Linked DNA regions of Macaca mulatta. The protein of the gene in region 5 interacts with the protein of the main gene of each other region in a pairwise test. Links are inferred from orthologs where the notes say so. Each region holds a gene or a part of one and is shown on either strand. Other genes may lie near its edges.

Evidence for each region.
Region 1: the proteins of CCDC102B (region 5) and PNMA5 interact in binary tests that used the Homo sapiens proteins (3 or more experiments, as listed by UniProt). The two-hybrid records come from large-scale screens. The link is inferred for Macaca mulatta from reciprocal best matches to the Homo sapiens genes CCDC102B and PNMA5.
Region 2: the proteins of CCDC102B (region 5) and CCDC33 interact in a two-hybrid assay, tested with the Homo sapiens proteins (2 studies listed by BioGRID). The two-hybrid records come from large-scale screens. The link is inferred for Macaca mulatta from reciprocal best matches to the Homo sapiens genes CCDC102B and CCDC33.
Region 3: the proteins of CCDC102B (region 5) and POP5 interact in binary tests that used the Homo sapiens proteins (3 or more experiments, as listed by UniProt). The two-hybrid records come from large-scale screens. The link is inferred for Macaca mulatta from reciprocal best matches to the Homo sapiens genes CCDC102B and POP5.
Region 4: the proteins of CCDC102B (region 5) and FAM161A interact in binary tests that used the Homo sapiens proteins (3 or more experiments, as listed by UniProt). The two-hybrid records come from large-scale screens. The link is inferred for Macaca mulatta from reciprocal best matches to the Homo sapiens genes CCDC102B and FAM161A.
Region 6: the proteins of CCDC102B (region 5) and EHHADH interact in binary tests that used the Homo sapiens proteins (3 or more experiments, as listed by UniProt). The two-hybrid records come from large-scale screens. The link is inferred for Macaca mulatta from reciprocal best matches to the Homo sapiens genes CCDC102B and EHHADH.
Region 7: the proteins of CCDC102B (region 5) and NIF3L1 interact in binary tests that used the Homo sapiens proteins (3 or more experiments, as listed by UniProt). The two-hybrid records come from large-scale screens. The link is inferred for Macaca mulatta from reciprocal best matches to the Homo sapiens genes CCDC102B and NIF3L1.

What each region holds. Positions count from the first base shown.
Region 1 is NC_133426.1:159,265,446-159,269,400, forward strand, and holds the start of PNMA5 (paraneoplastic antigen-like protein 5), read right to left. Parts: upstream 2,801-3,955; 5' UTR 2,670-2,800; exon of another isoform or gene 2,570-2,669; 5' UTR 2,508-2,569; exon of another isoform or gene 2,494-2,507; intron 2,314-2,493; 5' UTR 2,192-2,313; coding exon 845-2,191; 3' UTR 1-844.
Region 2 is NC_133412.1:52,149,774-52,153,797, reverse strand, and holds the start of CCDC33 (coiled-coil domain-containing protein 33), read right to left. Parts: upstream 2,801-4,024; 5' UTR 2,416-2,800; coding exon 2,395-2,415; intron 1-2,394.
Region 3 is NC_133416.1:127,903,018-127,906,980, forward strand, and holds POP5 (ribonuclease P/MRP protein subunit POP5), read right to left. Parts: upstream 2,801-3,963; 5' UTR 2,781-2,800; coding exon 2,761-2,780; intron 2,676-2,760; coding exon 2,533-2,675; coding exon of another isoform or gene 2,414-2,532; intron 1,351-2,413; coding exon 1,201-1,350; intron 1,076-1,200; coding exon of another isoform or gene 1,030-1,075; coding exon 946-1,029; intron 848-945; coding exon 753-847; 3' UTR 481-752; downstream 1-480. UniProt on the Homo sapiens protein: Component of ribonuclease P, a protein complex that generates mature tRNA molecules by cleaving their 5'-ends. Also a component of the MRP ribonuclease complex, which cleaves pre-rRNA sequences.
Region 4 is NC_133418.1:62,893,282-62,896,781, reverse strand, and holds part of FAM161A (protein FAM161A), read right to left. Parts: intron 802-3,500; coding exon 563-801; intron 1-562. UniProt on the Homo sapiens protein: Involved in ciliogenesis.
Region 5 is NC_133423.1:11,770,362-11,773,861, forward strand, and holds part of CCDC102B (coiled-coil domain-containing protein 102B), read right to left. Parts: intron 365-3,500; coding exon 155-364; intron 1-154. UniProt on the Homo sapiens protein: During interphase, forms fibers at the proximal ends of centrioles to maintain centrosome cohesion. During mitosis, dissociates from the centrosome following phosphorylation to allow centrosome separation. Contributes to CROCC/rootletin filament formation.
Region 6 is NC_133407.1:97,376,196-97,379,695, forward strand, and holds part of EHHADH (peroxisomal bifunctional enzyme), read right to left. Parts: intron 990-3,500; coding exon 885-989; intron 1-884. UniProt on the Homo sapiens protein: Peroxisomal trifunctional enzyme possessing 2-enoyl-CoA hydratase, 3-hydroxyacyl-CoA dehydrogenase, and delta 3, delta 2-enoyl-CoA isomerase activities. Catalyzes two of the four reactions of the long chain fatty acids peroxisomal beta-oxidation pathway.
Region 7 is NC_133417.1:105,994,551-105,998,657, reverse strand, and holds the start of NIF3L1 (NIF3-like protein 1), read right to left. Parts: upstream 2,801-4,107; 5' UTR 2,774-2,800; coding exon 2,338-2,773; intron 1,473-2,337; coding exon 1,310-1,472; intron 1-1,309. UniProt on the Homo sapiens protein: May function as a transcriptional corepressor through its interaction with COPS2, negatively regulating the expression of genes involved in neuronal differentiation.

The DNA.
Region 1 (3,955 bases), on a different chromosome or scaffold from region 5:
GAGATCTACACCGGCAAAGCAGAGGTGGAGTTCTTGACACGGAACAGCAGTGAGCAGAGCCTGGGCCTGGTGATGACGCAAACCAAAAACAACTACCCACCCCCAACAAGTCCTCTCTTCTCACACTTCTTCCTCCTCCTTCCCCTCTTCCTCCTTCTCCTCCCCCTCTTCCTCCTCCTTTTCTTCCTGCCCCTCCTTATTCTCCTATTCCTCCTCCTGATCATCCTCTTCTTAATTCTCCTCCTCTTTCTCTTCCTCACTGGTGCAGGGGGTCATGAATGCTGCCTTCCTGGGGCTCCCCTCATGCAGTGTAAATGATCCTAAAGACGGGCTGGACCCTGCAGCCTCCCCTGCCGGGCTTCACTTCTCCCCCACAGCTCTTCCTCAGCAGCCCTGGCTCCTTCTGGCAGAGGCAGGCCCCAGGCAGGCTCCTCCAGGTCCCACATGGCCTGGGTGCCAGTGGGCATTCTCAGCTCAAAGTTCACAGGGTGGATATTTGGGGGTGTCCAGATGACCAGGCCAGAGCCCCCAGCCACACCGTCTTCAGCCCCTGCTTTGTTGGGGTCCCCATCTGAAGCCCAGCCACCCCCTGTGCTAAGTGTAGCTGTTCCCTGCTTGTGTCTCCTATACCTGTTAGGGGCCATGGGCCTGGCCCCCACTGAACCAGATGCTATTTGGTCTAGGTTGGTGAAGTCCCTTCCAGCTGGTGGAAAGTAAAGGGGCTTGATCTTGACCTGGCTTCCCTGTCCCTCTGCCCCAATCAAGTTCCCTGTTAGTGTAAGCTGCCCTTTGTTCAAATGTCCCTGCTGCCTGCCAGGGGAAGGAGTGCTTGGGTCTTCTGAGCCTATGTTTCCCAGGGCTTGGGATGGCTCATGGCCCCAGCCCCTGCCTCGTTTCCCGACTCCTCTCCTGCAGCCTGTGGCCCCTCCCTGCCTGGAGTCTGGTTTTCAGCCTTGGGATACATGGCCTGGCCATAGTCTTCTTCCCTAGTGCTTTCACTGCACGACAGCCGCCTGCGTTTCACTAATGGGGGTAAGCCTCCCTGTACAGTCTGGGTGCTGCTGTCGCTCAAAGACCTTGCCTGCACGGTGGCCTGAGGTGCAGAGGCACTGGCTTCTGCTCTTGCCTGTCTACCAGAGGCCCCCCGGCCTCTCCCTGATGGCTTCTCCTTATTCTTCATCACTGCCTCAGTGTTCTCCCACTCTTCTTCATCTCGAATAAGCTTCATTAACTCCAGAAAATTGGGAGGACACCCTCGCTGATCCAAGAGCTCCAGCTTGCCTCTGAGGGCGGGGGTCATGGAGACCCGAGCTAAGAGATGTTTCAGACGAATCATGTCTGCGCTGCGCACTGACAAGGGGCTCTTCTGCACTGCTTTCTGCAGCAGGGGCTCTAAGCGCAGCAGGAAAGTGGAGACTTTCTCTCCAATCTTCGGAAAGGTCTGCAGAAACTTAAACTGAGAGGCTCTGAAGTCCTCTTTATCCCCAAAGATCTGCTTTAAGGCGTCAAGGCACTGCTCCACAGTTATGGAGTCATTGTTGGCCTGGAGCACCCGCATGATTGACAGAGCAGGCCCTCGTAAGCTCTCCAGCAGACGCCGTCTCTTCTCCATCTCAGACACTTGCCATATGGGCATTATCTCAGTGACCTGCTCCAGCCAGTCTTCAAAGGTCTCTTCACCTGGGCTAGCGGAAGCAGTTCCCGAAAACACTTTCAGTTTCCGGTACCACATACTTTCTTTCAGAGGCTCTAAAGGTGGGGGTCTAACTTGGGGTACGACCTCTGCATCCAGGCTCTCGGCAGGGAGGCTGCAACATCCCAGGGCTCTGGCCACATCTGTCATACTTCGGCCCTCATCTTTCAGGAAGTAGTTCAGTCTAATGAGAAACTCGTCATCTGGGTTACGGGGTTTTACCACCACTTCCCAGGAGCCCCCCTTTCCTGGTATGTGACTAGGCAGAGTAGTGTAATCGACAGTGTCAGCCAATTCAATGAAGACTGCCTTGGCGTTGTCTTCCCTCCTGAACATTCTCCCTAGCACCCTGTATGCGCGCAGGGGCTGTAAGCCTGCCTGCACAGTGTCCTGAATTTCCACCTCACTACACTCCACGGGGATGCCTATGATCAGCAGGGCCTTTCTGGGGTCCATGTCCATCCCCTTGCACCAATCCTCTAGCAGTGTCAATGCCATTGCTCCCACTTTCTATGGACTGATCTAATACTAGGGCAGCAATCAGCTTAGTTTGACAGCACTCAAATAACTCTGAGCCACTGCCACGTAGGAAGGTAGAAGTGGTCCCAGGTTTCCACAGCCTGCAAAGCAAATGGGATGAGAGCATTGTTAATGCCTACCCCAACCTATACCCCCAAGCACCCCTCCTCTGCCCCCACCCCCGAGCAGGGATGGAGTCCCTTCTTCCCAGGGTTCCCCAAGTTATTTTGGGGAGGGTAGAGGGTGGAGGTTCTCCCCAGGCAAAGATCTCCTCATCTCACCACTCCCTGCTGACCTCCTCCTGCTGTGGGTTCCTCCTCGAAGTCCAGAGGACTCTGCTGTGTGTGCTTCGGGTATCTGTAGTGAAAAGGCCAAAGTCAGGAGGCAGGGCCTGACATCTGGGGACACTGACAAGCTCTCCAGGCAGAAGAGGGCAGGAGACGGCCTCACTGCTCACTCAGGGCTATGTGGGCTCAGGTCACCCAGCACCCTCCTTGCTGGAGTGAAGGCTGGCAGCAGGAGAGGTAGAATGGCCCTCTTTCTCAGGAACGCCTGACAGATGAGAAAGATGGCCGAGCTCTGCGCAATGCAATGAGAGTGGTGGGTGTGGAGATTGTGTGACAAGCTGCAGTGTTGCCATGGATACAGAGAATACCATGGACCATGGGTTGCTATTGCAGGGGAGTGTCATGTGGTAAGGCTAAGGTCCTTGAGAAGCAACAGGTGATGTCATTGGCCTCCAACCAATAAAGCTTCCCAGCAAAAAGGAGGGTGGGAGAGGGAAGGCGAGGTGGGCTTGAGGAGTGAGTGCTGAAAGGACAGGAGCTCATGGTTTCAATTGTGTGGAAGCTGAAATCAGGTAGAAAAGGGACCCTGATGAGGTCCCCACTGCCAGACTGCAGGAAACCAACAACTCTTGCCCTAGAGATGGCCCTACCCTGCAGAGTCTGTGAACGCTGGCAGGCAGTCCCCTCTCCACACTCTTTGCAGGGGTTCCAGAGACCCTCCCAACAGGGCCCACCTCACAGCTGCTCACCTTTCTGGGTTGGCCCTGCTGGCAGCGCAGATGCTGCAATAACACAGTCACTTCAGAGTCGCTCTGCTCTTCAACTCTATCCAATTAGGCAGTTCCTGACTCAGGCGTGATGGTTCCTGCTTCCCTGGATCTGTCCAAGGCAAAGCACAGGTATTTTGCTGTGATTCTGTCCCACACACATGTCCCTGCTCAGGCCATGCCAATTCAGATTCTGCATAGGTGTCCACTAGGACCCTGGTGCAGGGGTAGAAGAAACTGCACAACTGGCAGAGGGAAGAGGAGGGGGGAAAGGGGGGAGGGGTGGGGGGGAAGGAGGAGTGGGGGGAAGAATGGCGAGAGGGGTGGGAGGTGAGGAGGGAGGTGGGGGGCGGGGGGGCTGCTGCTAGGGCAGAAGGGATCCTAAGGTAAGGTTGCGGCCCCACCCCCACTGCAAACTTCATTCCCTCCCAAGCCCCACCCCTGCAGCCATGTTGCACCCCTTCCTAAGCCCCACCTCAAAACTTGCACGCCTGCTGCCAAACTCTGCCTACAACTAAGTTGCACCTCTACCCCAAGCCTAGCCCCCCACCAAGTCCAACTCCTTCCACCACCCAAGTCTAACTCCCGCCTCAAGCCCTGCCCTCACCCACAGTCCAACTCCTACCCCAAGCCCTGCCCCCTCACCAAGTCCAACTCCTACCTCCATGCAAGTCTAACTGATGTCCCCA
Region 2 (4,024 bases), on a different chromosome or scaffold from region 5:
CAAACTCTTCCACCCACGCCTCCCTTGCCACCCCTCTCCTCCAGCAGTCTGGGAGGCCTGAGGAGCTGAGCCCGGTTCTGCCCTCCAGAAGGACCCTGCATCTGAAAAGTCACACCAGCTGGAGAGGGGCTGGGCTGCGAGGCAGGGTGCCTGACTGCCCGGATCTGTCATTTAGGCGAGTTATTTGACTGCAGTGGGGCTATTTCCCAGCAGTTTCACAAGGACTTTCAGTTAAAAATGGTTCCCCATGTTCCTTCTAGCTTTGGCATCTAAACTTGCCTGGGAGTTACGGTGGTCAGGGGAAAGCTCTTTTTCAGGTGAGGAAGCACACTCAGAGAAAGTAAACCTCTTGCGTGAAAGCACACGGCTTAGCTAGTGGGGCCGGGGCTGGAACTGGAAGCAGGGTCCGTCTGACCCCACGCTCTTGCTGTCTCTGCTGTGCTCTGACCATGCTTCCTTGGATGTGGGTCCCTTCTCTGCTCCACAGTGGATACCCCGTTGAACTCATAACCTGAGTATCCATTGGTGGCAGCAAGAGGAATTGTGTTCTTTGGAGCAGAGAAGCATTCCCAAAGATGACACAAAAGTCAGAAATCATTAAAAAAGGATAGGTTTGATTACATTTAAAAAATCTATACAAACTTCTGTAATGATCCAAAATGCCCTGCAATACAAAGAAAAGGAAAAAAGGAGAAAATGTTTGCTATATATTTAAAAAAGGATTAATATCCGTAGTATACAAAGAGCACTGAAACCTATAAGCATTACCCAATTAAAAAAACATGAACTGGGTATTCACAAAAGAAGAAACACAAATATATATATTATATACATGATGAGCATCCTTTTTTTTTTTTTTTTTTTCTTTTGAGACGGAGTTTCGCTCTTTGTAGAGACAGGGTTTCAACATGTTGGCCAGGCTGGTCTCAAACTCCTGCCTTGGCCTCCCAAAGTGCTGGGATTACAGGAGTGAGACACTGTGCCTGGCCAACATCATTTTTTTTTTTTTTTTGAGACGGAATCTCACTCTGTTGCCTAGGCTGGAGTGCAGTGGAACGATCTCGGCTCACTGCAACCTTCATGTCCCAGGTTCAAACTATTCTCCTGCCTCAGCCTCCTGAGTAACTGGGATTACAGCTGTGTCCCACCAAACCCAGCTAATTTTTGTATTTTTAGTAGAGACGGGGTTTCACCATGTTGACCAGGCTGGTCTTAAACTTGCCTCAGCCTCGCAAAGTGCTGGGATTACAGGCGTGAGCCACCCCCCCGGCCATGATGAGCATCCTTATGGGCGATTCTACCCAGCTATCAAAGTGCTTCTCAAAGCTACCAATCAAAGCAACCTTGGCTCCTTCTCAGGACTCCCACGCACACTCCCTGGATCCCCAATCCCAGCTATGTGGGGCAGGTGGGGACCACCTGGCAGCTTAGGGTGCCAGATCAAACTGGTGCCTGGTCCTGAGTGTGTGGCATTACAGAAAGAGTCTTAATGGGGAGGGTGGAGTCTGCGGAGGTTCAGGGGCAGCTGTGGGCAGAGAACATCAGGAACCAGAGACATCAAAATCAAGGGTAATAAAGTGGAAATCACACTAAGGCCTGAGCACCCCCAGCTATTTGGCTTATTCAAGCTGAGTATAACTACAAAGAGGGTATTCCCCGTTTGCAAGTACCGATGTGCCTTTGGTCTCAGCTCCTTCTGGTATCCCTGTGGGTAACACCATCTAGGGCAGGGGCTCTGCCTTGCTAGTGAGAGGAAGGTAAGGGGTCCCTTGCACTGAACTGTTTATATCTCATTGCAATAAGATTCTAGTCCCTTCCTGGCAGAACCCTGCTGCTAGGCCACAGCTTTTTATTAAGCACCCACTATGTGCCAGGCACTGTTCTGAGTGCTGGGGATACAGAGATGAACAAAACACACAAAAATCCCTTCTCTCCAGAGACCCAAGCATCTGCGTTCCAGGGCAGGGGCCTAGGCCCCAGAAAATCAGGGCCAGGGCTAGGAGAGCATGGGGGCAGTGGGGGCATCAGGGCTGCCAAGGTAGCAGCCTGGGAATATCCTGGGAGATATTGGATGGGGGTAATGAACCATCTCAGTGGGCTCTCAGACTGTGTGACCCCAGCAACAAGAGGGCAGAAACAAGCAGGTAAGGGTGGTCAGCACTGACAACACCCGCAAGTACACTGCATTCCAGTTCCCACGTGGCCCAAGAGTATAGGGCAGCTAACCTGGGAGAGCCACAGAGACCGCCTCACTCCCCATTTCACAGCTGTGAAAACTGAGGCCCAGAGAAGGGAAGCTTTTGTCATGATTAAGGAACAAATGAAACTTTGAAGGAGAGACTTTGAAGGAGGGATGGATTCATGCAGGTGTGTGGCCCATTCCCCTGGCCTTACCTTTTTGTTTTTCAGTCCCATCCTCTTGAGGCCAGGAGTGTCTGGCCTTGTTTAACAATCTTGGGGACGAGTACCTGGTATAAGTGGGTGATCAGGCATCAGTCCTGCCCAGACAGTTGGCCTGGGCGTCTTGGAGTCCTTATGGTTAGTGGACAGTATGGAGGTCAATGTGGTCTCAGGGGTGCCACACACCAGCCCTGGGGTCTGGATGTTGGGGAAGGGGGAGGGTGGCCAGGTGGGGGCAGGTCCTCGATCTCTCAGCAGCAAGATGGTCTATGGGTGGAGGGGCCTAGGGGGTTGCAGGCCATGGCCAGTTGGACAGGGTCAGCAACGAGGCGATTGACTCTTGGCACTCCCAGGACGGTGGAGAGATGGGAGAGCCCTCTCTCTGCCCAGGCCTGGAAAAGCAGTGAGCTTTTCCACCTAGCTGGGTCACCTGGGCAACATTGTGTGATGTCACAGGGCAGGGCCAAAGTCACACAGGCACCTGTCCAGGTGCAGTGAGCTAGAACACGAATCTCTTTTCCCTATTCCTGGAGCTGTGTTCCACCTGCCGCCTGGCACTCAGGCCTCACCCTTCCTGTTCTTGGTGCCTCACATAGTCTCCACCGACCCTGTGGCATGGCCAGCCCCATGCCGCTCACACTGCAGCAAAAGAGGAAGCCAGACACTGCTCTCAAGAGCGTGGCAGCTTGATCGGTAAAACAGCTACTTCTGTTGAAGAATCTACCAGCCATCGTGCCTCTTTGGGTACCTATAGTCTTCCATTTATTTGATAATAATAAACACAAACTTCAAGAGGATGGTTTCTTCTGGGAGGGTGGGTGGGAAGATGGGGGAGAGAAGAGGGTAAGAGCATACATTCTAAACCTTTGGGTTTTTAGATTGGGTGGTCAGTTAATGGGAGTTCATTATATTATTGAAAATAAATTAGAATTAAACAACTAAAGAAAGCCATGATGGGCCAGTGATGGCACTAGAGTATGAACCAAAGATTGTGGTTCAGTTCTGAGTGCTGCAAGAAATTATTACGAAGACAAAGTATGTCTTTTAGTGGAGCATTTGCAGCACACCAGGCAGGGTTCTAAGTGCTTTTGGTGAGGTGAGATGGCAGAATGAGGAGAGGCTAGTCGTTGGCCTGGGGTGGGGAGTTGTTCTATAGAGAGGTGAGGTCTGAACTGGGCTTTGAAGGATCATCAGAAATCCTGGGCTAGAAGAGGAGGGATCTGGGGTGCTGGGTGGTGGTCAGAGGTGTTTGGGAGGCCCCTGTGGCCTGCCTCATTTCTACCTATTTTGGGCCCCATGTTGGAGATTCTTTTAATCTGGCCGAAGAGCAGGACCAGCCTGGCAGCCAGGAGGCAGAAGACTCCTGCTTTGCAGAGGCCTCCCAGCCTCCCTCTCTACCCCCCCTCCAGAAAGAGCAGCAGCGAGGATGTGGTTCTCCCCAGGTTAGAGACAGAAAAACTGAGGCTTTGTCTTTGATTAGAACTGAAAGGACCAGCCAAGACCACCCAGACACTGGTGGGAGATGGAAGTCGGGAACCCCACTCCTAATTTTCTCCCCGTCTAGGCCTGCCAAGAGTGGTACCGCTGGGGCTCTGGGACTGGGGGCCTGACCAGGAATGGCCTG
Region 3 (3,963 bases), on a different chromosome or scaffold from region 5:
GACTTGTCTTGCTTAGGGCCCATCTTGGGGCCGGGGGTACACAGCTTCAGGTAGAAGGCTAAGTATTGAAAATTTAGGCCAGGCACAGTGGCTCACGCCTTTAATCCCAGCACTTTGGGAGGCCAAGGCAGGCCAATCACTTGAGGCCAGGAGTTCAACAGCAGCCTGGCCAACATGGCAAAACCCTGTCTCTACTAAAAATACAAAAATTAGCCAGGTGTGGTGGTGCACGTCTGTAATCCCAGCTACTTGGAAGGCTGAGGTGGGAGAATTGCTTGAACCCGGGAGGTGGAGGTTGCAGTGAGCCGAGATTGGGCCAGTACACTCCAGCCTGGGTGACAGAGTGAGACTGTCTCAATAAAAAAGTTTAGTACCACACAGGGAGTCACTCTTCCCACCAAGGCTAGGGATAGAGAACAGAGACTTAGCCAAGCATGGACTCCATAAGCCCTTTTTGTAACATAAGTATACTAAATGCCACGGAAACCAAATACATTTATTAAATCTACTCTTAGCCAAGCAATAAAGATGTCTACATAGAGTTCACAACCTGCAACACTTAACCAGGGAATGCTAGGTAAAGGCAACTTCAGTTTAACTGAGTACTCTATTTCAAGTGGGTAACATGTCCGCTGGTTGGCAGCTATCCAGCTTGGAAAACTGTAGAAGATGCTGTTGCTACCCAGATTGTTCTGTTCAACAAGTGGGCCCGAAGCCTGAGCAGTGTAGCCTGCTGTGTGGTGAGCAGAGGGTCACTCCATTGCTTCTGCAGCCTCCTCACCTGACTCTTCCTCCTCCTCTAGTAAGCAGCTTCTTGTCACAGACTTCTGGATAGCTTCCCGCTCTCCTGGAGAAGGCAGATAGGGATGAAAGATGTCTTTGGGAGTGATTTCTTCAGCTCGAGGTCAGTCACTGCTCAGCGGGCACTGGGCTAGTATTGCTTACCTTCATCAGTGCAGTTCTGCAACAAGATCAACAGCTGTCTCCTGTTGTACTGAATTAGGAACTTCTGACATGTTCTTATTGTACCTGGCATGTGAGTTACTGCGGTCAACAGCTTGTGAAAGGTCTCGACCTTACTTTCAGAGGTAGGGGAAGTGTCTTGTTAGCGGGACAGCAGGAAGACCCACCCACCAGTCTAGACTGAACTCTGAACATGTCACCTATTGAAAATCAGTAGCCGTATCACGTCACTCCTACCTCCCACATGTAACGTGTTGAAAAAGCATGGGTAACGGTGTCCTTTGTTCTCCAGGTATGTGATGAAGGGAAGAGCTGACCACACAAGCTGATAGAACTCTTTTCTGCATCGAAGTAGCACTATTCCAGTATAGGCATTGAGGTATCGAACTACAACAGGGAAAAAAAAATCATTTCGGAAAATTTTGCTGTGTGTGGTGGCTCACACCTGTAATCCCAGCACTTTGGGAGGCTGAGGCGGGCAGATCACTTTACGTCAGGAGTTCGAGGCCAGCCTGGCCAACATGATGAAAACCCGTCTCTACTAAAAATACAAAAATTAGCCGGGCGTGGTGGTGCACGCATGTAATTCCAGCCACTCAGGAGACTGAGTCATGAGAATCGCCTGAACCCAGGAGGTGGGGGCAGCAGTGACCTGTGATCTCCCTGCTGCACTCCAGCAGCCTGGGCAACAGAAGACTGTCTCAAAAAAAAAAAAAAAAACAAAAAAACTTTAGAGTAACAGAGCACAAGTGGCACGTAGGATCTTTCAGCGAGTAAAAGAGAAAAGCCAAAACACCCACTGTGTTGCACACCACTCAGAACTGGTGAATGAATTTAGAATCTAACATGCTTTCTAATTCACTAGTTAATTCAATAAATAGGAGCAGGTAGGAGGGCGATCCATTTTAATTTAGGAAAAACCCTCGCCTGAAAAATAGGCTGTTTTACTGCAGTTGGGCTCTGTAATTCTTGTAGCAGTCAGCTGAGTCTCACCTGACTTAAGGATGAGTTAAGCCTATCTGCATTTAACTCTCCAGAAGTCAATCCTCAAGCAAGGTAAAAGGGGGAACTAATATAAATGGTGTGGAAGAAGGGCCCCGGGCCCCTCTTTGTCCCGGCTCATCCTGTATTCACATATATTGACGATCATGTGTTCTGTACTTTACCAACTAAGGGCATTCCCAAGGATACTTTCGACAATTTTTTTCCATGTGATGTTAATGTAATCGGTCATAATAGCTCTTACTAGGAACTAGATACAGCTTCCCTCATTTAATTCTCTATCCTATCAAATTCAATCACAACCAATTACAGAAATTACCTGTCAAGCAGGCAAAAAGAGGCCTCTAGCTCAAAGACCCACTGCCTTCGGGCCCCTCCTTTTAGCTCTCTGCTAATTTCGGACTCGTGTGGATCTCTCGCTTGCGGTCCCCGGCGCTTAAAGAGATACCTTACAAAAAACGATGCACGGGCTTGGCCACTCGTGCCCCTTCTTTCTTCCTCCGGCGCCTGCCCCCTCCACGTCCCGCCATCCTCCCGGGTTCCCCTCTTCCCCCAACGCTCTCGCACCCGCGAAGCCGATGGAGCAGGCGGCTGCGCCGAAAGTCCCGTGCACCCTGGCGATAGTGTCCCGTACGAGGCTGCTCAGAACTCGGTCATCGAGGCTTAGGCGGCAGCGGGGGTCGTCAGACACCAATTCGCAGAGCAGGTACCTGCGGCAGGCGAGAGGAAGGTGGGCGCTAGCGGCGCCGCGGGGACCTGGCAAGGCGCTGGGTGGGTCTGGAAGGGAATGCTTACCTGTGCTTGAACCGCACCATAGCTGCCTCCGCGCCGTCGGGATCGCTGTGCAAACCGGATGTGGGTTCCGTCCGCGGCCCGTGGGAAGCTTACTTCCGCAGCCTTTCAGCCATTCAGAGAAGGAGACAGGACATGCGGGCGGAGCTAGAAAGTTGAGAGGCCGAACTCTGTGTCAGTCTCCCTCAAGCCCCACCTAACTCTGCGTTTGTAAGCGCGCATGCGTCCTGCGGAGGGTCTCTGACTAGTTTGAGGGCTGAACTTCGGCTTGGAGCGGCTGGGAGCGGTTTGGAGCGGCTTGCAGCTGCGATGGGTGGTTTTGCTGCACACCGGAGTTTACAATACTGTGTAGGATGCAACCGCTGCCCTTGGGGCCCTGGGAACCTTGCAGCACAGGTATGTATGCGAGTACATTCTCTCCCCAAGGTGAACCGTGGAGTTTTTGAGGGCAAGACCCTGCACTTCACAGCCCAGGGATTGACAAACGGGAAATCGGACTCTTATTTTCAGGTTTGAGCTCAGTTTAATTCTTCCATGCAGCTAAATGTGCTATTGCTGTTTGGGCCTTTCAAAAATCTTAGGGAGGCGAGTGTGCTGTCTCATTTTTTGTTCGCAGAAACAATACGTGGTCATTGTATTTTCCATTTCTGTTTTCCTTTCCTTTTTATTTTTTTTTTTTTAACAGAAAAGCACAAAGAAGCAAATAAATTATAATCCCAGCACTGAGAGAGAATAACTGTTGTCGTGTAGTGTGTTTTCTTCTGTCATTTTCCCCCTGGGCCAGCGGTTCTCAAAGTGTCGTCTGGGGACCCCTGAGATTTCCTAAACTCACTCGGTTTAGGAGTCCCCGAAGCCAAAATTACTTTCATAATAATACTAAGATGTTACTTGTCTTTTTCATTCTCTCAGAGTGAACAGTCAAGTTTTCCAGAGGCTGCTTGACGTGATGATATCACTGCTCTAACAGCTAATGGAATTGTGTATTTTTTTTAAACATTTCTCAACTTTAATGTCCATAGTAAATATAACCCACAAAACTAAAAGCTCTTGGGGATCCTCAGTAACGTGTGTAAAGGGGTCCTGAGACAGAGAAAACAGTTTGAGAACTATGCCCTCTGTTAAATTATGTTTTTTCTTTTATTTTCTTTTTAAGTATTTTTTTAAAAAAGTCTTATGTGGTATTACATAAAATACATATTCTTTTTT
Region 4 (3,500 bases), on a different chromosome or scaffold from region 5:
CTCAGCTAGTCTCTAAGCTCCTTGAGGGCATCTTGTTTTTGACTCCTCAGTGCCCAGGTATAGTCTGGCATACAGGAGACATGCAAGCATCGCTGACTGACTAGATGTGTAAGTCTCAGAGCAGGTGAATTCACAGCAGAAATGGGTCTTGAAATTGCAGACTATTTTGAAAACATAAATCAGATACATGTCTCCTAGTTCTGAACTCTTTGTACTAGATCTTTAATGAGCTCATGTTAATCCACATATTATAAAGAGCTTTTAAAGTTAAACTTTTATGTTTACCATTTAAAATGGCCCAGACTAAGTATTTTGATACATGCCCTCAGTTCTATGGGTGGATCAGAGAGAAAAGACCAAATGGCCACCAAATGACCCTCAAGCAAAAGTCATCTAGTAAGCTGATAAGCCATTAAACATTTTGAAGAAAATCCTACCTCTGTATATCATTAAGAGTACAAAGGGCTACTTAAGAGAAAATATTCTGAAATAACTATGTTCTGTCCTTTTAAGGATACATTTTATTTTATACTCCACAAATAACTTTGAGTTACAAGCTTACCTGGAACCGTCACTAAGAGAGGCTTCCCTGATGACCACTGGCTGAACTTCCTTTAAATGTAATTTATCCTGGTACATTTTCTCTAATTTTGCCATAGTTTCTAGGTGGGCAGCCTTCAACTCTTCTACTTTCTTGAAATACTCCTCATTAGAGTGGTGAATACCAGGAAAGTTCACAAAGTCCTCAGAGCTTATTGGTACATGTTCATCCACCCCAGAAAAGCTGGTGTTCAAATCAGCCTGGTGGGGAGAAAACACCTGTTATATGGTGACTGGAGCTGAAAGACAAATTAAGCTGACACTGATCCAAAATGCTGCTTCCTAAAGAGTCCACCTAGTTAGGTTATACGTTAATTATGGGTTATGCATATAGAATGAGTTACAGGTTATTTGTGTGTACATTTTCCCCAGTGATATTTTAAGAACAAGAGGGAGCGAGACCAAACTGTCAGAAAATAAATGTTATTTAATCCATTTGATAAAGGATGGTTAGATTCCCAGATCAACCAACAAAAGGTATAACAGGATAGAACCCAACAATTGTTTACAAAGTATTTCTATAAGGAGCCTCCTGAGTTGTAAGTTTTTTTTTGTTTTGTTTTGTTTTTTTGAGACAGAGTCTCGCTCTGTCGCTCAGGCTGGAGTGCAGTGGCGCCATCATGGCTCACTGCAAGCTCCGCCTCCACGGTTCACACCATTCTCCTGCCTCAGCCTCCCGAGTAGCTGGGACTACAGGCGCCCGCCACCGCACCTGGCTAATTTTGTGTATTTTTAGTAGAGACGGGGTTTCACTGTGTTAGCCAGGTTGGTCTCGATTTCCTGACCTCGTGATTCACCCGCCTCAGCCTCCCAAAGTGCTGGGATTACAGGCGTGAGCCACCGCGCCCGGCTTGAGTTGTAAGTCTTAACTGAGATGAAGAGGAACACAGTTCTTCCTGCTGCAAACCAGGCAACCACAGCCCAATGCTCTCCCTTCAGCTGCGCTTCTGAAGTGTGCCTCCAAGGACTGCCAGTGAGAGAAGGCAGGGAAATAGAGGGAATGGAGGCGGGGACAAAGTTCTCAGTGGCTTATCAAGGAGCCAGGGAGAAGCCCTCCTCACAGTGGGGCAAGACCTTGGGAGGGAGTAAGAGGACATGGGAGGGGGTAGGAGGGATTTTCAGGGCAGCTGCTCCTGGGCACAAAAGCAGTAGCTCCCATGGGTGACAGGGACTTTGGGATGACAACAAAGCAGAGAAGAAAAAATGGTGTAATTATTCAACACACAGATCATGTTTAGAAGGGTCTGACTGGCCTTTCTCCCTCACTCCCTTTACATACCTTTCAGGTTTTTTTTTTTTTTTTTTTTTTTTTTTTTTTTTTTTCTGAGACAGAGTCTCACTCTGTCACCCAGACTGGAGTGCAGTGGTGTGATCTCGGCTCACTGCAACCTCTGCCTTCTCCTGCCTCAGTCTCCCGAGTAGCTGGGATTACAGGTGCCCACCACCACACCCAGCTAATTTTTGTATTTTAGTAGAGATGGGGTTTCACCATGTTAGCCAGGCTGGTCTCGGACTCCTGACCTCAGGTGATCCACTCCCCTCAGCCTCTCAAAGTGCTGGGATTACAGGTGTGAGTCACTGTGCCCTACCCTTTCAGTTCTTTTAATTGAAGCAACTAAAGAGATAAAACCCCATTTTCTCTATAAATATACAATTTTTATTATGTTTTCAGTTGAGAAACAGTTGAAATTATTTATGATACTATGCATAAAAGACTGCCAACCACGGTTTTAAATTTAGTCTACTGTCTGGAACAGACGCAAAATGAAAAAATTTGCTACAGAAAATTATAGATCCAATCTGATAAGACTCTAGAAAATAAATCTGTTTAGCTTCTCTCAAAAGAAAAATTCAGAAGAGTCAATTATAAATAGTAGTTATAGATGTGGTGTTTTTGTTTCCCATTGGAGGCTTCTCAGAAGATATGGTGTTTTTTTAATGGGCTAAAATCAGTGTATAAGAGGACAATGTTGTACTATTTGGGGTAACTTAGAGAAAACAAGTTTTAAAAAATCAGTCTTCAGGGGCCAGGCGCGGTAGCTCATGCCTGTAATCCCAGCACTTTGGGAGGCCGAGGCAGGTGGTTCATGAGGTCAGGAGATGGAGACCATCCCGGCTAACACGGGAAAACCTCATCTCCACTAAAAATACAAAAAATCAGCTGGGCATGGTGGCGGGCGCCTCTAGTCCCAGTTACTCGGGAGGCTGAGGCAGGAGAATGGCGTGAACCCGGGAGGCAGAGCTTGCAGTGAGCCAAGATCGTGCCACTGCACTCCAGCCTGGGGCAACAGAGCAAGACTCTGTCTCCAAAAAAAAAAAAAAATCAGTCTTCAATAGAACTTATATGTAGAAATTTGCTACTAACAACTCTATGAATCAGAACTGCTTTAAGTATGTCAAACAATTCAATTAAGAGAATTCTCTGATATCTTCTGCTGTTTCTGTATGTGCTTCTCACCATAAACTTCTTACCTGTAGGATGACTACTTTGTGAATTTCCTCATTCATTAAATATTTGGGGGCTATCTTGCAATCAGCTAGCTGCTAAAAGGTATGTCAGTTTTTTTTAAACTCTACCTTTGAGGCCAGGTGCAGTGGCTGACACCTACAATCCCAGCACTTTGGGAGGCCGAGGCAGCCAGATCACTTGAGGTCAGGAGTTTGAGACCAGCCTGGCCAACATGGTGAAACTTGTCTCTACTAAAAATACAAAAATTAGCCGGGCATGGTGGCACGTGCCTGTAGTCCCAGCTACTCAGGAGGCAGAGGCAGGAGAGTCACTTGAACCCAGGAGGTGGAGGTTGCAGTGAGCCAAGATCGTACCATAGCACTCCAGTTTAGGTGACAGAGCAAGACTCCGTCTCACTTAAAACAAACAAACAAACAAACAAAACTCTACC
Region 5 (3,500 bases):
ACATCCTAGTGGGCAGAAGAGCAAGGGGTATCAGGTGTTAGCTAGCACAAAAGGAAATAGCCAAATGTGGAGGCATGTACCAGTGAAGACAGACTCGGCATAGGCATGAGGGTGAGATTAGACAGTGAGAATTTGCTCCAAGGAGCACCCATACCTGGTTTTTCTCTTGCAGGTCAATTTGTGACGTCTTGAAATCAGGACTTGGAGAGTTTGCACTTAATCTAATTTTCTTATCCAAGAGCTCTTCCATTTCTTTCACCTGGATCTTCAACCTTCTATTTTCTCTCTCCAGTCCCTGCTTTTCTGTTTCAAGTATTTCCCTCTTGTCCCATTCCGAGCTGTTTTCAGCTTGCAATCTCTCTAGCTACACACAGAAAACACAAAAAAGCAGCATGCAGCATTTGCAACTGCCAAAAGGTAACGCCACCGACAAACAGACTCCCATTAAGAAAGGTTCATGGATATGTCCATTGATATAATTTTAAAAAGAAAATTCTATTTGTTTGAAAACATGAGAAAAATACAAAAGTCTGAAGATCAGGCCAAACCGTAGATAAATAGACTTTTCCTCTTGGTTCACATAACTATCTCTACAGCCATATGGACCATATTTTTCAAATACATGTGTCAAGTGAAAAACTGCTGCTCTTGGGAACACATTAATCTCCACTCTCAACTGATGAACATTCTCAGTGGAGAAGACACAAAACCATTTTGTGGGCAATTTTGATTGGATATATTCCACTTATTCATTCACTCATTTATCTAGGGAATAGATAAATGCTATATATCTATCTTTCTATCTATCTGTCTGTCTATCTATCTATCCATCCATCCATCTATCTATGCAACATTCGCAGTTGCCAAAAGGTAATGCAAAAGGTAATTTCATTTTGGCCAGGCGCGGTGGCTCACGCCTGTGATCCCAGCACTTTGGGAGGCCCAAGCGGGCGGATCACGAGGTCAGGAGATCAAGACCATCCTGGCTAACACGGTGAAACCTCGTCTCTACTAAAAATACAAAAAATTAGCCAGGCGTGGTGGTGGGCGCCTGTAGTCCCAGCTACTTGGGAGGCTGAGGCAGGAGAATGGCGGGAACCTGGGAGCTGGAGCTTGCAGTGAGCCGAGATCACGCCCAGCCTGGGCGACAGAGTGAGACTCCGTCTCAAAAAAAAAAAAAAAAAAACGAAGAAAGAAAAGTAATTTAATTTTATATTGAAATACATATATATACTTTATAATTTTGTATTTTAAAATTTTACATTAAAATATTTTCAATGTAAAATTATATAAAATTGAAACAATACTACAAAGAAAATCTTATTGGGACACAGCCGTGCTTCGCACTTTGCCTATAACTGCCTTCACACACAAAGGCTAAGTTAAACTGTTGAGAGAGAGACCATATAGGTAGTAAAGCCCTAAATAGTTACTTTGTGGTCCTTTACACTAAAGTTTTGTCTACCTCTGCCCTCTTCCCATGGTTCTCAACCAAGGCTGCATGGTATAGCAACATGAGGAGATTTTTATAACCATCAATGACCAGAAGCCTACTTTAGAAATTCCGATTTAAGATAATTTTAACATCTCCTTTGCTTTTTATTATTTTAGTGTTTTTATGTTTTAAAGAGGCAGTATCAAATGTATTTATTTTCTGCAATTTTATTACATCTAAGTGCTCATTATGATGAGGTGCAATTATATTCATCTGCTATAATTTTTTTTTTGTGGACATTGTAAGTAGAAGTGAATAGTAGCTTTTTTTTTTTGCTGTAAATTATAGTCCTGAGCTATGCATTCTAATCTGACTTCACGATTTATCTTCTGGATAAGCTTAGTCAGGTAACTTCATCTACCCCAATGTGGACAATTTATCTAATCTGATGAGGTTTGTGAGAAGTGAAATTAATCAAGGTAATTAGAAAGCACTTTGTCTAGCAATGTAATACTTAAAGGAGCAACACTGTGGTAATATAAATTTTTTTAAAAAATGTATATTTCTCTCATATATTTGGGCATATGGACATCAATGTAATTTATTGCATATATCTATACAACAGAGTAACTCTTTACAGTAGAAAATCTATTAGAATCTCATCCTGGTTCCACCACTTACTCACTGTCTAATTCTGGACATTTATTGTCTTATTAAGTTTTCTTACTAGTAAAATTAGTATGGTACCATACATATAATACCATAAATACAATACCACAAATGCCACATTTGTGGTATTGTATGGACAGAAGAGGGTCAACTACTCAAAATTCCTTGCAAACTATTTAGGATGATTAAAGTATGAGGCATTTTAAAAATATCTCAAAAGGATAAACATTCTAAATTACTTGTTTTTACATTGTTAATTATAATGGCTTGATTGCAGCATACTTTATAATTATCATACTGTTATAAAATCTGTTGCTATGACATGTTAAATTCTAAAAACCCATCAACTTAGTCAACATTTAGAAAAATGTTACATTTCAAAAATATCCTTTATAATATCATAATAAATTATGATATAAAAGCCTAAAAACTGCTTTTTCATATATATATAATTGTACCATTATTGTAGAAAATGTTCTGTTCCCAAATCTAAGAGATGCTCTGGCTTCTAAAATGTAGGAAACCAAAATTACATTCTTGGCACATTTACCTATTATGTATAATAAACTAAGGGTCAAATTTTAGATGATGTAGTTTGACATTTGGGATGCTTGTTTGGGAATATGAGGTGAAAATATTATATCACAATTTAATTTAGTACATTACATTACTTTCATTGTTAAGATTAATACTTACAGTTTCTATCATTGCCTCACTTGTCAGAATAAAAATAATAAAGTTGCCACAAAAAGGCAGCAACTTAGTAATGAAAAATTAATATAAGGAGAGCAAATGTATTTTTGGGCTAGGACAAATATGCTGTGTCAAGTCTTTGCAAACTTGTAGGATTCTTTTAAATGTTAAAATTAAATAAATTGATTTAACACTAAATAACAGATAACAAGTAGAACCAAGGTTTTAAATAAGTAATACATGGTCTGAATGAACAAATTTTAACTCTTAAGATTTTTTTTAAGTAATGATTTTAGCAGTAGCAACAACAAAGCTTAAATAATGCCTTCTGATGTTTTACTATTTACAGATTTATCAAAACATACAAATTATTTGATAAATATATGCATATAACATATATTAAAAATTAAAAATCTTATAAAAATTATTAGTAGTTTTAGTTATTTTGTAAAACTGTTTCTTATCACATTATTCTTTTCCAAGAATCATATGAAAATCCACTAATTTAAAAAGCATTTAATTGCATGTACCTTAAAATGATAAATAAAAAATCAAGTAATATTTTAAGCTCTCAGAGTTTACCATAAAAAATTACAATAATTTTATCAAATGGAAATAGAATTCCATTGCTTTGCTTCTGATGATGAAGAGAAACTCCTAAAATATTTTAATTCTTACTCAACTGTGAATTTTAACCATTAGT
Region 6 (3,500 bases), on a different chromosome or scaffold from region 5:
CATTTTGCCAGTAAATATATATATATATTTTTAATTGAGATGGAGTCTCACTCTGTCACCCAGGCTGGATGCACAATCTCAGCTTACTGCAATCTCTGCCTCTTGGGTTCAAGCAATTCTCGTGCCTCAGTCTCCCAAGTACCTGGGATTACAGGGTGTGCACTACCATGCCCAGCTAATTTTTGTATTTTAGTAGAGACAGGGTTTCACCATGTTGGCCAGGCTGGTCTCGAACTCCTGAACTCAAGTGATCCACCCACCTCGGCCTCCCAAGGGATTACAGGTGTGAGCCACTGTGCCTGGCCTAGTTTGCCAGTATTTTGTTGAGAATTTTTGCATTAATGTTCATCAGGGATATTGGCCTGAAGTTTTGTTTTTTTGTTGTATCTCTGGCAGGTTTTGGTATCAGGATGATGCTGACCTCATATAATGAGTTATGGAGGAGTCCCTCTTTTTTAATAGGAAAAACATTCATGTGATAAAAAAATTTAAAAAGCTACAGCAAGGTAAACAGTGAAGAGTCTCCTTCCAGTAGCTTCTGCTGGCTGACCAGCCCTCTTCCCAGAGGCAGCCATTAAACATTTCTTGTGAATCTCTTCAGAAATGTTTTATGCATCAACAGTTAGATATATACATTTTCCCTATGTTCTATCCCACCCCTCCTTTTTGTTATACCAATGGCAAACCACTATATACAATAATGCTTTTTTCACTTAATAATGTATCATGGGCTTCATACCATATCAGTACAAACAGTTTCTCATTCATTTTTAAGCAGTATCATATTTCATCACATGGATGTATCATAAAATATTTAGGAGTTCCTTATTTAAATGAACATGTATCTTGTTTATAGTCTTTGGCTATTTTTATTATTTTCTTACCTGAAACTGTCTGAGCAAATCTGATTGCTTCTTCAACCGGGTCTGAGTTCACAACTTTATCTAGAATGCCCAGCTTGAGTGCTTCACCTGCTAAAATATGTCTTCCTGAAATAAACAACAACAACAAAACAATCAAAGAACAATGTAAGATTAAAGCAAAAGCATTACTCTCTCTAGCAGGAAAGGCTGTCTGTCTGGATATAAATATCTACTATTGAATAAGGTAAGTAAGAACCACATTGACTGATAGAGTAGAAAGATCACCACCAAGGTAACCAGGAAACTTGGATTCAAGCTCCAGCTCTAGTTTCCACTATTTGTGTGATCATGAAGAACTGCACCAGGACCACCATTTCCTCATCAGCAAATGGCAATAATTATGCTTATCTCAGTAATTCTGAGTATTAAGTGAGAATAATAGATTCTCTTTATATTCTATAACTCTCTACAGAAGTACTTTATGAACTACAAATCTCTATAGAACTCTATAGAAAAGTGAGATGTTTAGTTTTCGATAATAATAATAGAAGTAGTAGCAGCAGAGTAACATATAGTATCTATCCTATCCCTAGCATACACCACTGGCTGTGGTTGGTTTAAAAAAAAAAAAAAGAAAGACCAGGCACGGTGGTTCATGCCTGTAATCCCAGCACTTTGGGAGGCTGAGGTGGGCAGATCAACTGAGGTCAGGAGTTCGAGACCAGCCTGGCCAACATGGTGAAACCCTGTCTCTACTAAAAATACAAAAATTAGCTGGGCATGGTGGTGGGCACCTGTAATCCCAGCTACTCAGGAGGCTAAGGCAGGAGAATCGCTTGAACCCAGGAGGTGGAGATTACAGTGGGCTGAGATCACACCACTGCACTCCAGCCTGGGCAACAGAGCTAGACTCCATCTCCAAAAACAAAAACAAAAATAAAAACAATAAAAAAGAGAGAAAAAATAAAAAAAGATAGTTCCCAGACATAAATATAGTTAGCTCAATGAGAAAAAAAAAATAAGTTGACATTCTATAAGGTATAATTAAAATTACATAGGACAAATGGGATGGACTTCTGCCAGTTTTTGGCTACCCAGCATCTCAACTCTTCCCTTAGTTTGTGGAATGGCTATTGTGTAGGCTTTGAAGCCCTGCCTCCTACTACAGAAGCTGAAAAGGACACAGATGATTAGACAATTGACAATTTGACTGTGGCAGCTGGAGTGTGGCCCATGACCCCAGTTAGTGAACTGAGTGCTCTGTTGAGGGTTTTTAGCTTGCAGTTAGTGACACTAAGCAGCAGCAACAGGTTAAACCTCATTTTACAGCTGCCAACATCTAGTGTCTGGCAGTGGTGGTGCTGGTACACTTAGCATCCAGTCATACCATTGGCATCCTCCAGTACAGAATGTCAGCAATAGGGGATATAGAAGTTTGATGAAGGTTTGCGCCGTTCCTAAATTTGCCTTGACAGTTCTTCACCCATTGTAAATATGCAATTTGATCCGCATATTCTGAGGTAAGAGGTAGGGGACATCAGCATCCCCTATCCCAGGGTCAGAAGGAAGGAGATAGTGACACACCGCTTGCTTTCTTGCCAGTACCATCTTGCCTTCTGAAAAGCAACCATCAAATCTGTCTTGGTGGCAACAGTTCCACAGTCTTCACTGCACTTACAGTGTTGGTGGATGCCATCGGAGACAAACCTTACATTCCTGGTTCTTATTAGTGCTTCAGAGAACTACAAATGAGTTTTCTTGATTGGATAGAAAGTCCGGTGATTTTTTTTTTTGTTTTGGTAGGTGTCTCTTTGAAAAGCAGTATTTGGACAGTTTTCTGGAAGTATTTCTGAAAACAGGCTTTCAGACCTCCTCCTGGAGTAAGGAGTAGGATAGGAAGTACATAAGTAGTTTCCAGGGTCAAGTATCCTGTGTATAAAATCACTTTGGTAAGTAGAGGGTGAACAGCCTACCCAGGTTAAGGGAACCAAGCAAACACAAAATGGAACATGGAAACCTGGATACTATTACAAAAGGATTTTGAGGTCAACTAAGCAGGGAGAATGTGAGCTACTCCCAGATGGACTACAAATTTCTTTAGCTGTAATGATTTCTTCTGGCTTGGATTTCACAAAATTGGAAGAGTATCACTACTATTCTAACAGAGTCAATGGGATTCCAAGTACAGTCATATACCATATAATAACATTTCTGTCAACAACACATATATGATGGTGGTCCCATATGATTACAATATCATATTTTTACTGTACCTCTTCTATGTTTAGATGTGTTTAGATACACAAAGACTTTCCATTATGTTACAAATGTCTACAGTATTCAGTAAAGTAACATGCTGTATAGGTTTGTAGCCTAGGAACAATAGGCTACACCATATAGCCTAGGTGTGTAGTAGGCTATACCATCTAGGTTTGTGTAAGTAAACCATGATGGTCACATAACAACAAACTCATGTAATGATCATTTCTCAGAATATATCTCGTTGTTAAATGATGCGTAGCTGGACTTTTATCCTGTTTCGAAGAACTAAGGATCTAAAGACATGGCTCTGTATATCCAATCCAGATTCTTAGGCTGTAATTTAAATTTGTTTTTTCTTATGACACCGTAAGTGTA
Region 7 (4,107 bases), on a different chromosome or scaffold from region 5:
GGTGACGAAGTGAGACCTTGTCTCTCAAAAATAAAAAATAAAAAAACAGCTGGGCACCATGGCTCACGCCTATAATCCCAGCACTTTGGGAGGCTGAGGCAGGCAGATCACGAGGTCAGGAGTTCAAGACCAACCCACCCAACATGATGAAACCCCATCTCTACCAAAAATACAAAAAAAAATTAGCCAGGCATGGTGGCGGGCGCTTGAACCAGGGAGGCGGAGGTTGCAGTGAGCCAAGATTGTGCCACTGCACTCCAACCTGGGTGACAGACCTAGACTTCGTCTCAAAAATAATAATAAATAATAAACAAACCAAAAAAACTCCTATCTCTGCCCTAAATAATGATTGACCTTATAAAGAGGCACTTAATGTATTTTTCACTTGAAGTGCTTGGCAGCTATAGTCCCAGCTAATTAAGAGGCTGAGGTGGGAAGACTGCTTGAGACCAGCAGCTTAAAGCCATGGCAAGCTACGATCATACCACTGCACTCCAGCATGGGAATCGCTTTTTTTTTTTTTTTTTTTTTGAGATGGAGTCTCACTCTTGTTGCCCAGGCTGGAGTGCAATGGAGCGATCTCGGCTCGCTGCAACCTCCGCCTCCTGGGTTCAAGTGATTCGCCTGCCTCAGCCTCCCGAGTAGCTGGGATTACAGGCATGCGCCACCAAACCCAGCTAATTTTGTATTTTTAGTAGAGACGGGGTTTCTCCATGTTGGTCAGGCTGGTCTCGAACTCCTGACCTCAGGTGATCCACCAGCCTTGGCCTCCCAAAGTGCTGGGATTATAGGTGTGAGCCACTGCGCCCAGCCTGGGAGTCTCTTAAAACAAACAAACAAAGATTATTCAGAAAAGTATTTCCCATGATGTTAAATTAAAAAACTGATTTATGAAAATATATATTTAAAATGTAAAGATAAATATAAAAAACAAAGAAAGTGCTTGGAAATCACTGATTTGCTGGGAACCAATAAAAGCCTCATCACCACATCACTAGGATCTATCTGTGTTCTCTAAAGTGAAAACAACTATCTTTGAACATCAACAGGATTAGAAATACTGTATATAAAATGCATAGTATAGTCCCCTGACATAGAAAATACTTAATAAGTGTTACTTGTTGTTTTTATTGTTTTGAAAAAATTCCATAGGTCTCCAGGACCCACAGACAAATGAGGAGTATGCTGCTTTGTAAACCAACTCTAGAGAAAATTATTTGTTTCAAGCCTAAATACCAGGGTTACAGACTTTGTAAGGAAGATGCTTACAAATAAATACACACACAAAAAAGAGAAAAATAAATTGTACCTAGCAGAAAAAGAAGTGACAGAAACATCACCAATTCCTTTCACTGCAGACATGACTTTGTCCAGGGCTTGGGTGTGGCTAACGTTGAATTCTACTCGGTGGTTTCCCTCTGTAGGGTAGTTGGGAGCTTTGGAAGGATGTATGGGCCTGGAGGTACAAGCTCCTAGAGAAAATATTGTGGGAAAATGGGAGTTTTGGGGGGTTAGAGGTTAACATTTAAAAGTAAGATAAACTATTATAGGCAAAATTTCTAAGAAATGACTTTTTTAAAAGATTCATTCTCATGCTTATATGACATACACACACATACATATATCCTTTAGATATACATCACCAGTCCCCTAGGGCTTTGGTATGGATGTACAAAATCAAATTATTTCAGAATTATTTTCCAAAAGATTCTTAAATCTCTGAAAAACTTGGACAAGAAAGACTGATTCATACATTTTCAGATAATACACAGAATGGTCTACTGTTTGGTAAATCTACCCATGTAAACCATCATTCAGGTTGCAAATGCTCATACTTTATTTGACCACATTAATCCAGATATCATAATAAAAGCTTCAGCCCAAAATGAGTAAACAAAAGACTTACTAAAGTAAAGCTAAAATCCATACATCATTCCCTAGGCATAAGTAAACATTCACTAAAAACATTCACTAAAACCCAGATGTCTATTTGCCTGATTTATCAATCAAGTGTATTCTGGAGAGACCTGAGCTTTCAATTCAACAAGCATTTTTCAAGTGCCTGGGTGACAGGCATTGTGCCACAAAAGTGAGGGATCACGAAGTTCAGCCCAGTAAGGAAGACTTCTGCTCTCCTAACTCCGTAAGAATAAAAAATGTTTCCTTTTTCAAATGCAATTTAACTGCCAAATTTCAGCAACATTATTTTAAATTTATTATACAAAAATGGAATCATACCCTCCCCAACCCTAAAGCAGTTAAAACTTTACTGGACAGACATTCTAAGGTTTCAAAGTATTTGCAGGGAAAATATCAAATATGAAAGAAGCTTCTCACCAAGCCCTTTAGCCAACCAGTTGTTGACGCCCTGGGGTGCGGCATCATAGGCTGTGTGAGGAGAGTAGATACCGACTCTGTTCTCCAGAGCCTGGATCACCAGGCGCTCCTTCCAGGTGTTCCAGGTTATGCGCTTCATGGGTCGGAAGATAGGCGGATGGTAGGAGAGAATGAGGTCTGCCTTCTTTTGCAGCCCCTCCTCCATCACTTCCTCAGTCAGGTCATTGGTCAGGAAGAGCGTATTTACAGTATGTGGTGGGCTTGGTTCCACCAGTAATCCAACATTGTCCCAACTCTCAGCAAAGGAGAGGGATGCAAAGTCATTCAAGGAAGAAAGGAGAGCCTTCAAATCCATGAAGGAACGGGAAGAACTGCAGATCAGAGAATCTACAAACCGGACTGTCGTGGGGACCGGGCGTACACAAGATGACAACATACAGAAATCAGGTAAAGTTCAAGTTTCTGAAGTCAAAACAAAGAAAATGGTACACAGGTACACTTTAGGCCTGGATCTTTGAGGCATCAAAGCATATGGGCAAAAGAACTGTCATCATAGAGATCTGGGTTCAAATAGTGGCTCTGCCACTTACCAGCACATAGTAACTTAGGTAAACCATTTAACCTCTCCAATCTTGTTTTCTCACCTACGAAATGGAGATACTATAGCCCACCTCACAGGCCATCCAGAGGAGCAAATGAATTATGTAACCTAGCAAAGTCTGGTACATAATACACAAACGTCCATCCCATCTCCTGCCTCACACACCCTTGTTCTTATTCTCCCTACCCTTGCTTCAACCAACCTCCTCCCTAATCCATTTCTCTAAATATTATCCTTCCTTTTCCCAAACCCCCTTCAACTTCTTAAATAAAACTTTTCTTGACCTCCCTTTTCAGCATCCTTCCCAAGGCTCCCAACCCCTCAGTATTCTCATTATTGAGTGTGCCCATTATGCTAAAGCTACTATGGAATAGGAACTATCTTTAATAAATCTCAGTATCGCTAATATAAGCCAGCACTAACTGCTTACTGCATAGAATGACACTGCTCACCTCCCCTGACTGCAACAGAATTTGGAGTTGGGGTGGTATATACTGACATTACAATGTGCTTTACCAAAAAACAGAATAATGTGGCGGGGCGCCTGTAATCCCAGCACTTTGGGAGGCCGAGGCAGGAGGATCACGAGATCAAGAGATAAAGACCATCCTGGCCAACATGGTGAAACCCCGTCTCTACTAAAAATACAAAAATTAGCTGGGCATGGTGGCGTGCACCTGTAGTACCAGCTACTTGGGAGGCTGAGGCAGGAGAATCGCTTGAACCGGGGAGGTGGAGGTTGCAGTGAGCCAAGATCGTGCCACAGTACTATGGCCTGGGCAACAGAGTGAGACTCCGTCTCAAAAAAAAAAGAATGTTTAAAATGTCAAGTGCTTTATCAGAATCAAAAATCAAGGAATACATAGGCAGGTCACTCTACAAATGGGCAGGGTCAAGGCAGAAGAAGGGAGAAGCCACTGCCCCTTAAGCAACATTTGCTACACAAAGGCCAGGCTCAAGAGGTGGAAGAGGTTAAGGTATAGGGTACTTTTCCCATGTAGCCTGTAAGCCTTCTAAATATCTACATCCAACAAGGAACTGAAAAGGTTGGCAAAAGAGGAAAGGTGGGAGGGCAATGGAAAGGTAGAAAAAAACTGCTGGCTCCAAAATATGCACAATTAGTAAATGTTTAATCAAATAACCACAAAAGATAATGCTGTCAACCCCAT